Cricetulus griseus: one gene and its partner. The protein of the gene in region 2 interacts with the protein of the main gene of each other region in a biochemical or structural test. Links are inferred from orthologs where the notes say so. Each region holds a gene or a part of one and is shown on either strand. Other genes may lie near its edges.

The links.
Region 1: the proteins of Ube2m (region 2) and Dcun1d5 form a complex in vitro, tested with the Homo sapiens proteins (3 studies listed by BioGRID). The link is inferred for Cricetulus griseus from reciprocal best matches to the Homo sapiens genes UBE2M and DCUN1D5.

What each region holds. Positions count from the first base shown.
Region 1 is NC_048597.1:121,723,771-121,727,270, forward strand, and holds the end of Dcun1d5 (DCN1-like protein 5), read left to right. Parts: intron 1-76; coding exon 77-181; intron 182-1,653; coding exon 1,654-1,756; intron 1,757-2,472; coding exon 2,473-2,481; intron 2,482-3,151; coding exon 3,152-3,207; 3' UTR 3,208-3,348; downstream 3,349-3,500. UniProt on the Homo sapiens protein: Contributes to the neddylation of all cullins by transferring NEDD8 from N-terminally acetylated NEDD8-conjugating E2s enzyme to different cullin C-terminal domain-RBX complexes which is necessary for the activation of cullin-RING E3 ubiquitin ligases (CRLs).
Region 2 is NC_048602.1:25,624,911-25,629,192, reverse strand, and holds Ube2m (NEDD8-conjugating enzyme Ubc12), read left to right. Parts: upstream 1-1,482; 5' UTR 1,483-1,545; coding exon 1,546-1,653; intron 1,654-2,460; exon of another isoform or gene 2,461-2,475; coding exon of another isoform or gene 2,476-2,506; intron 2,507-2,835; coding exon 2,836-2,931; intron 2,932-3,058; coding exon 3,059-3,097; intron 3,098-3,199; coding exon 3,200-3,303; intron 3,304-3,581; coding exon 3,582-3,645; intron 3,646-3,729; coding exon 3,730-3,870; 3' UTR 3,871-4,244; downstream 4,245-4,282.

The DNA of each region.
Region 1 (3,500 bases), on a different chromosome or scaffold from region 2:
TAGGTACAGCTTCCCCTTCAGATCCTAAGTGGTTTTATTTTATGAGTGTACTTACATTTTCTCACTAATATTGTAGGATAAAGATCAGAGAAGCCTTGATATTGATACTGCTAAGTCTATGTTAGCTCTGCTGCTTGGGAGAACATGGCCGCTCTTTTCAGTATTTTATCAGTACCTGGAGGTATGTATGGGCATTTTAAAATGTTTGAAAATGCATTTTTAAGGAACAAATTCTGTACTTTAAAATTTTTATATGAGTAATTAAATCTGCTAAAATATGTACCATATTGTCAGTTTTAGACATAAATTTGTATTATTTATATATTCTGTACATAATATAGTTGGGAACTGGAGTGTAATTTGGTGATAGAACACGTGCTTTGCATTTTAAGGGATTTTCGTTCTCCCTAGGAGGAATCCCAGGAAAACTATTTTATCATAGACATTTCCTATAAACCTAATTTCTTGAGGTTTTAATGTTAATATTTTGTACGCACAGATCTGAGCATGGCTGTAACAGTTATCCACTGCACTGCTGACTCTGCAGTGTGTGCTGCATCACAGAATAAACATCCCGTAGGAGCTGTGCTGCACCTGCCAGCTAGCTCAAGACATCTGCTTTTCCACTCTTCGCTTTGTGTGATTCTGTTTAGTTTTAAACCTTTCCGCTTGAGTTTTGGGGACATATGTCTAACCATTTCTTAAATAGAGCTGCCTTTTCTATCAGAAATAACATCATGTCATGTGGTTTACTTGTCACAGTAACTTTTCCAGAGCACTTTTATTTAAAACCTGGAGAAATGAGTTTTGTACATTGGTAAATTTTTATGGCAAGTAAAAGTTGACATTTTTGATTAATGATACATATCTTCCTCCTGTTAGTCGATCAAAAATACATTTAGCTAAATACAAAAATATTAACTTCTGTGGGGCTCTGAAAAAAAAAAAAAACGAGATATGTTCAAGCAAGTTTTACCATTTAGTAGTTGAGGAAATCAGGTATGGGATTAGCTTAGTATTGGATTTTTATTTTTGTTGTTTGGTGGTAGTGGTGATTGGGTTTTGTTTTGGGGGGAAATGGTTTGTGTTTTGATGGAGGCATTGACAGAGAGTCTTGCTAGATAGCCCAGGCCATCCTTGAACTCATGATCATCCTGTCTCTGCTTCCCAAGTGCTGGGATCACAGGTGTGTGTCACCATACCTAGTTGTCCTGCTGGGGAAGAAACCCTGAGCACCTGCCCACCAAGCTCTCTGCCACAGAAGTCACTTTCCCAAGAGCACTCAATTGAGTGTTCACGTTGTGATTCAGATCCAAGCTCATAGTGTTCCCACTACTGCTGTGGATGCTCTCTTCAAAATGTAGCTGATGCACACAAATACATTCTGTATAGTGGAAACCACACTGTCAGACCAACTGAGTGTTCTAGTGGAGAGCCACATGGGTGTACATACATGTAAATCTCAGTGTTAGTCTTACTGCCTTTCAGAAAAGAAAATATATGATAACCTAAAGGAGTCTAGAACAGCACGTAGTTAAGAAAGGAAGAAATATGTTAGAAAAGACCAAATAAATGGAAAATGAGAGTCACTAAATTCAAGCCCCAATAAGAATGTTGGTTCTGTAGTCCACATTTTTATATCATTTTCCACAGCAATCAAAGTATCGAGTTATGAACAAAGATCAGTGGTACAATGTATTAGAATTCAGCAGAACAGTTCATGCCGATCTTAGTAACTACGATGAAGATGGTGCTTGTAAGTATATCATGCATTCCTATGAAAATAAAATTCCTAAAAATGTTAAACGAATTTGTGCATTCTGAGGCATTAACAGAAAGTTTGAAATAGTGTAACAGTAACTCATTATTTAGTCAGGATATGGGGGAGGCAGAGTCTAGGTTCAGCAATGTTGTAAAATCTATGCTAGTGAATAAGTGACTAGACATTACAGCTAAATGATCATTTCTCAAGCTAGAAGCCAAAATCCTACTTTTTACTTGCCTTTTCAGTAGAAGGAAAGTTTCACTCATGCATTAAAAGGACAAAGGCACAACTAATAAGCCAACTTAATTCTGTAGAATTCTTAATTAAACTTAAATCTCTACTGTCACTTGGAGCGCTGCAGTGTTTCAGTGTTCATATGGGGTACGTGGAAAGGTGCCTTGCTTTATAACAAAAATGGACATAGCACACTTGATGCAAAAGAGACAAGGTACTACCAAAGAGATAGCCTGCCTCGAGTATATAGTGTTTTTTCCCTACAGGATCACGTAGAATTTAATTCTTGTTTGAAGAAATACTTATTTTCTGCAGTAGGCTAACAGCCCGAGAGCTACATAGAGCCTGCAGACATGTATATCTGTGTATGTTGAGCCAACATTTAAAACTGAGAGGTTTGGTATAAAAATAAACTTGTACATTTATTTGAACTATCAGAAAATCTGACACATTGCACCTGTATTCCTTTGTAGGTTTCAGAGGTTGGAACCAAGTAGTGGCTTGTGTTGAACTTGCTCTCCAGTTTGGCAGTCCACGCAGTATTCCAACATTGCCATTTACTGCTTTGCCTGCCCGGCTGTTTTTGTATGGTCTGCTAAAAGCAAGAGAGAAAAGAACACCCAGAGGTTTTATGTTTTGAGAAAAACAAGACAAGCATATCTCTTCGTGGTCATACTTTCCATACATTTTGAGATACTGAATTCCATACATCACAAATACTGAAACCTCATTTAAATTGCCCACTTGGCTTCTGTTGGTAAACATTTGGAACCTCTACATTCTAAAACTTCTTTTTTAGACTAGCAGTCAGTTAGGTAGTAGGTGTTTGCTTTATGCTATTCTTTTTACTGTGTCTCATTTTTAGAATAAAGTTAGTCTCACGTGGCCATTCCCCCTTAACAAGTGCTCATACTTGTTGATGTAGCAGAAATATGTTTGCTGAGTGTTTAACACCAGTGCTGTGGGGAAAGGTTCGTTTTGTCTCATTTATAGGGGAGTTCATGAAACACTCCTAGAGAAGGAAATAACCCTGGGGAAAGAAAACAAACAGAAAGCAGTAGCTGAAGGACAGGTTAGGTGGGCCCTTGCCACCTCAGAGCTTGTTAGAGGGATGAGTCTACTGAATCTTAACAACTTGTTTCTTCTGTCTAGGGCCGGTTCTACTTGATGAATTTGTTGAGTGGCAAAAAATCCGTCAAACATCATAGCAAGAACTGTTGTGAAGAAAATGCAAATCTTGTGAAGAAAATACAGAAAGAGGGAGGATATACAAGGGTGCATTTTCACTCACGAAAGACTTCTCATAGTACTTTTTTCCTTTTTTTTAAAGGAAGTTTTCTTGTTACATGTGATGGGCACTGAGCCACACGTCTTCTGAGACTGAATATTGACGTTTTTGTTTCAAGTTATGTTTTTAACATTTATTTCAGAACAATAAAGATTCAGATTTGTGACAAAGGCCTTAAAGTGAAGATGTCCATTGAGTGTCAGTGGTATTTAT
Region 2 (4,282 bases):
TACTTCTGCTGGTCTCTAGGCCGCAGCTACAAGCCCTATACCCACAGATGGACAGTAAAATTACATAGTGCTCGGGGTTGGAGAGATGGCTCAGAGGTTAAAAGCACTGGCTGCTCTTCCATAGGTCCTGAGTTCAATTCCGGGCAACCACATGGTGGCTCACAACCATCTGTAATGAGATCTGGTGCCCTCTTCTGGTGTGCAAGCATGAATGCAGACAACTATATTCATAATAAATAAATAAAATCTAAAAAAAAAAAAATAAGAATTGCTTTTAAAACAATTACACAGTGCTCACCCTCGGTTGCACGACAGAAATCTATTTTAAGGAGCAAGGGTCCCGATGTCCTTGAATGTCTGTGCTCAAGAACAGTACGAGTTTTAAACTAGTTTCCATCCATCGGAATCTGGCTTTGCGATGGGATGAAGGGGAGCCCAGACAACGTCCCTCAATAACGCCCAGGCTCTGCCTTTGCTGAGCCCACAGACAGCAAACACCCATTCTAGCCCGCTCCGCCTAAGCGCAAGAGTGGATGGAAACAGCGGGCACCAAACGGCCGCTACGCGACTCGCTCCAAAAAAAAAAAGAAAAAAAAAAACGCCTGCCAGCCCCGCTTCCTGCTCTGCTGGGTGTGCGCAGCCGCCGGGCCGCCGAATAGGCACCTCCACGAACGGAAACAGCCGAGCTCAACCGAAGAAGGCCGAACCCCAACCGAGGAGCAACCGAAGAAGGCCGAAACCCAACCGAGGAGCAACCGAAGAAGGCCGAACCCCAACCGAGGAGCCAACGGAGGGGAGGGAGGGGGCCGCGCAGGCGCAGCCCGCAGCCGGGGGAGGGGGGGACCAGGAAGAACCGAAGCGGGGGGCAGGCAGGCGGCGGAAAGTGCCGAAGCGGCGGGGGGGGGCGCCCGAAGGCCGTTGCGGACCTCCGCACCGAAGCCGCGCCTGCCGCGGGAGCTGAGCCTCCACCGGTAACCCTGCCGCCGCCAGCGCGGCTGCCGCCTCCTCCGCCTCCCACCTCACCGCAGCCTCCTCGCAGAGGGAGGGAGGGAGCAAGCAGGCGGGAGAGCGGAGCGGCGGAGCCGGGAAGGGAAGCGGCCGCAGCGGGGGCCCTCTCGCAAGACCTGAGCGGAAGAGGGGAACGGGGAGGAGGAGGAGGAGGAGGAGCAGGAGCAGGAGGAGGAGGAGGAGGAGGGCGCGGGGGTGGGGGCGGGGCGGGCGCCCGAGAGCAGGGGCGGGGCCGACGAGAGCCGAGTCCTCCCGAGCGCCTCCGAACGCACCCGAGGCGCTGAGCCAGGCCGAGAGCCGGACTACGGGAGCCGAGGCGGGCCGTGCGGTGGGCGCGGAGCAGCGCGGCAGGCAGGCCGGGCGGGCGGCGGCGGCGGCAGCGGAGGAAGAAGAAGAAGAAGAGGAGGAGGAGGAGGAGGAGCGGGAGGCCGCGGCAGCGGGTCCGAGGAGCGGAAGCGGCGCAGGAGGCGGCCGGGGGGGCCGGGTGGCCGGGGTCCCGGGCCCCGCGGCGGCGGCGGCGGCGGCGGCGGCGACAGGATGATCAAGCTGTTCTCGCTGAAGCAGCAGAAGAAGGAGGAGGAGTCGGCCGGCGGCACCAAGGGCAGCAGCAAGAAGGCGTCGGCGGCGCAGCTCCGGATCCAGAAGGTAGGGGCTGGGGTGGGGTGCGGTGGGTGGGGTGCGGGTGGGGGGGTGTCGGGGAGCCCGGGGTGCGAAGGTGCAGCCGCTGAGGTGGCGGGGCGGCGGGCGGGCGGAGGGGGGAGGGCGGGGAGGGGGTATCGGAAGTCGGGGTGGGGGGGGGGCTGCGCTGCGGGACGGGGGTGCGGTCGCTAGGGAGGGCCGGTCCGAGCCGGGGGCCCCGGGTGAGGCCTTGGGAGGGACCCTGAGGCCTGGAGGGTTAGGGCGCCGGGGATCCGGTAGGGGACCGGGGGGGGGGAGAGTTTGAGAGTCCCACGGGAACTTGGCGGGGGTGACGACGGGCCGTGGAGACAGGGGTGAAGGTTGCGAATCGGAGAGGAGGAGGAGGAGGGGGAGGAAGGACACGGCCTCGGGTCATGATGTTGGGAGACCTGGAGCCCCGGGACTCCGGGACGAGGGGGAGGGGACGGGAGGGGAGGGCAGAGCAGTTTTGAGTTTGAGGTGAAAGGCGGGGGGGGGGGAGGAGGAAAGCAGGTGACAGGAACTAAAAATAAATAAATAGATAGATAGATACATAGATGGATAAAATAAAGATGGGAGTCGGGGTCCATGGAAGCTACTACCATGCTAGGAGTCTTCACGAGTCAGATGAGAAGAAGCGGCGCGTGGAATAACCACCCCCCCACCCCCGAGAAACAGGAAGAAGGACAAGGGGAGGCTGTGGATAGTTGATGGGAAGGGCCGATCTAGCGTGGGAAGGGTCCTCGAATGAGGACGGACGGGTAAACCAGTCGCGAGTGGAGGTCATGACCACGCAGCCTCAAGTTTAGAATGCTCAGGGGCAATCTCTTGGAAGCCAGAGGTTCTTGGGCCCTCACTGCATTGTGGGAAGGGTGGTGGTGGTGGTGGTGGTGGTGGGGATTTAGTTGGGTTAATCAAGGTTGGCCCTTCCCGAGAGATAGGCGTCCGGTTACAACTGAAGATGCTCACGTGTGGGGATACTATGTATCCACCAGAGTCCACCGAGAGACTGGAAAGTGGGAAGAGTGTGTAGGACTCACCCTGCGAGGTGTGAGGCCACCACACGCCGGGGCCCTACAGGTCAGGAAGGAGAACTTGGGAAGTCCTGCTAACACCTGCCCAGACCTTCACGCCGTCGTTTGCTCTCCCTCTCACTGTTGCCTAAACCTAGACATTAACGAGCTGAACCTGCCCAAGACTTGTGACATCAGCTTCTCAGACCCAGACGACCTCCTCAACTTCAAGCTGGTTATCTGTCCTGATGAGGTGAGAGTAAAACGTGGGTGGCAGGGTTCCCAAGAACAGACCCCGGGGTGGGGGTGCTGTCCGCCCATAGAGAATGGGAAACCCTAAGAATGGGGGGTCTTAATTCCTTCTTCGCTCCCTTTCCCAGGGCTTCTACAAGAGTGGGAAGTTTGTGTTCAGTTTTAAGGTGAGTCCCAGGTGGACCGAGGTGGCTCGGTGGAGAAGTAGCAGCAGCTGAGGCATAGCCAAAACACCTGCCCCTCTCATTTCCCTTTTTTTCTGGGGCCAGGTGGGACAAGGTTATCCACATGACCCCCCCAAGGTGAAGTGTGAGACAATGGTTTATCACCCTAACATTGACCTCGAGGGCAACGTCTGTCTCAACATCCTCAGGTGATGGCCCTGCCTCCCCTTTCCCTCCCGAGGCCCACCTCTGCTCTGCTCTGCCCTTTACCGTCTGTGATTCTGTCTTCGCATTTCTACGTTGTCTTCCTAATAGCCCAGCCTTGGCTTTCTCCATGGCCTGCCCCGTTCCATGTCTTACCCCTTCCTTACCTCTCACTCTTCAGGGTTACGGGCCTCCTATGGGCCTGACCTGTTTGGTACTAGCAGGGCCTGTTGAAGCCTCCCACTCACCAACATGTGATAACCTTGATGCTCTCTGCCCACAGAGAGGACTGGAAGCCAGTCCTTACGATAAACTCCATAATTTATGGCCTGCAGTATCTCTTCTTGGTGAGTAGGCACAGGCATTTGAGGCGGGGGTTTGTTGGCCATCTGCCTCTCTTGCCTGTTAACTTCCACTTGTGCTGGCCACAGGAGCCCAACCCCGAGGACCCACTGAACAAGGAGGCCGCCGAGGTCCTGCAGAACAACCGGCGGCTGTTTGAACAAAACGTGCAGCGCTCCATGAGAGGTGGTTACATCGGGTCCACCTACTTTGAGCGCTGCCTGAAATAGGGTTAGCAAATACCCATCCCTGCCAGGGTCACCAGCCCAGGCATCCCCTGCAAATATTTATTGGGGGCCCGGGTAGGATATGTGGGGTAGCCTTGGCCCCTGCCTTGGCCTTACCTCTCCTCCCTGTCACCTGTCCCTAGTTATTTTTTTTTTAACCACCACGTGATTATGGTCGGTGCTGCCTTTTCCCGACCTGCTCAGCGATGGGAAATGAATTGGCCTGTTTAGCGCCCCCCCCTCCCGCTGGGTGCTGTCCAATACCCCACTCTTGACTGTGGGGTAAGTGGGCAATGAGCCTGGGTCACTGGTCCCAGGCAACCCACCCCACCACCACTGGAGGTCCCACCAGGCTATTAAAGGGGAATGTTACTGCATGGCCTGTGCCTCTTCCTTCTGTGGGGTGGGAGGGACA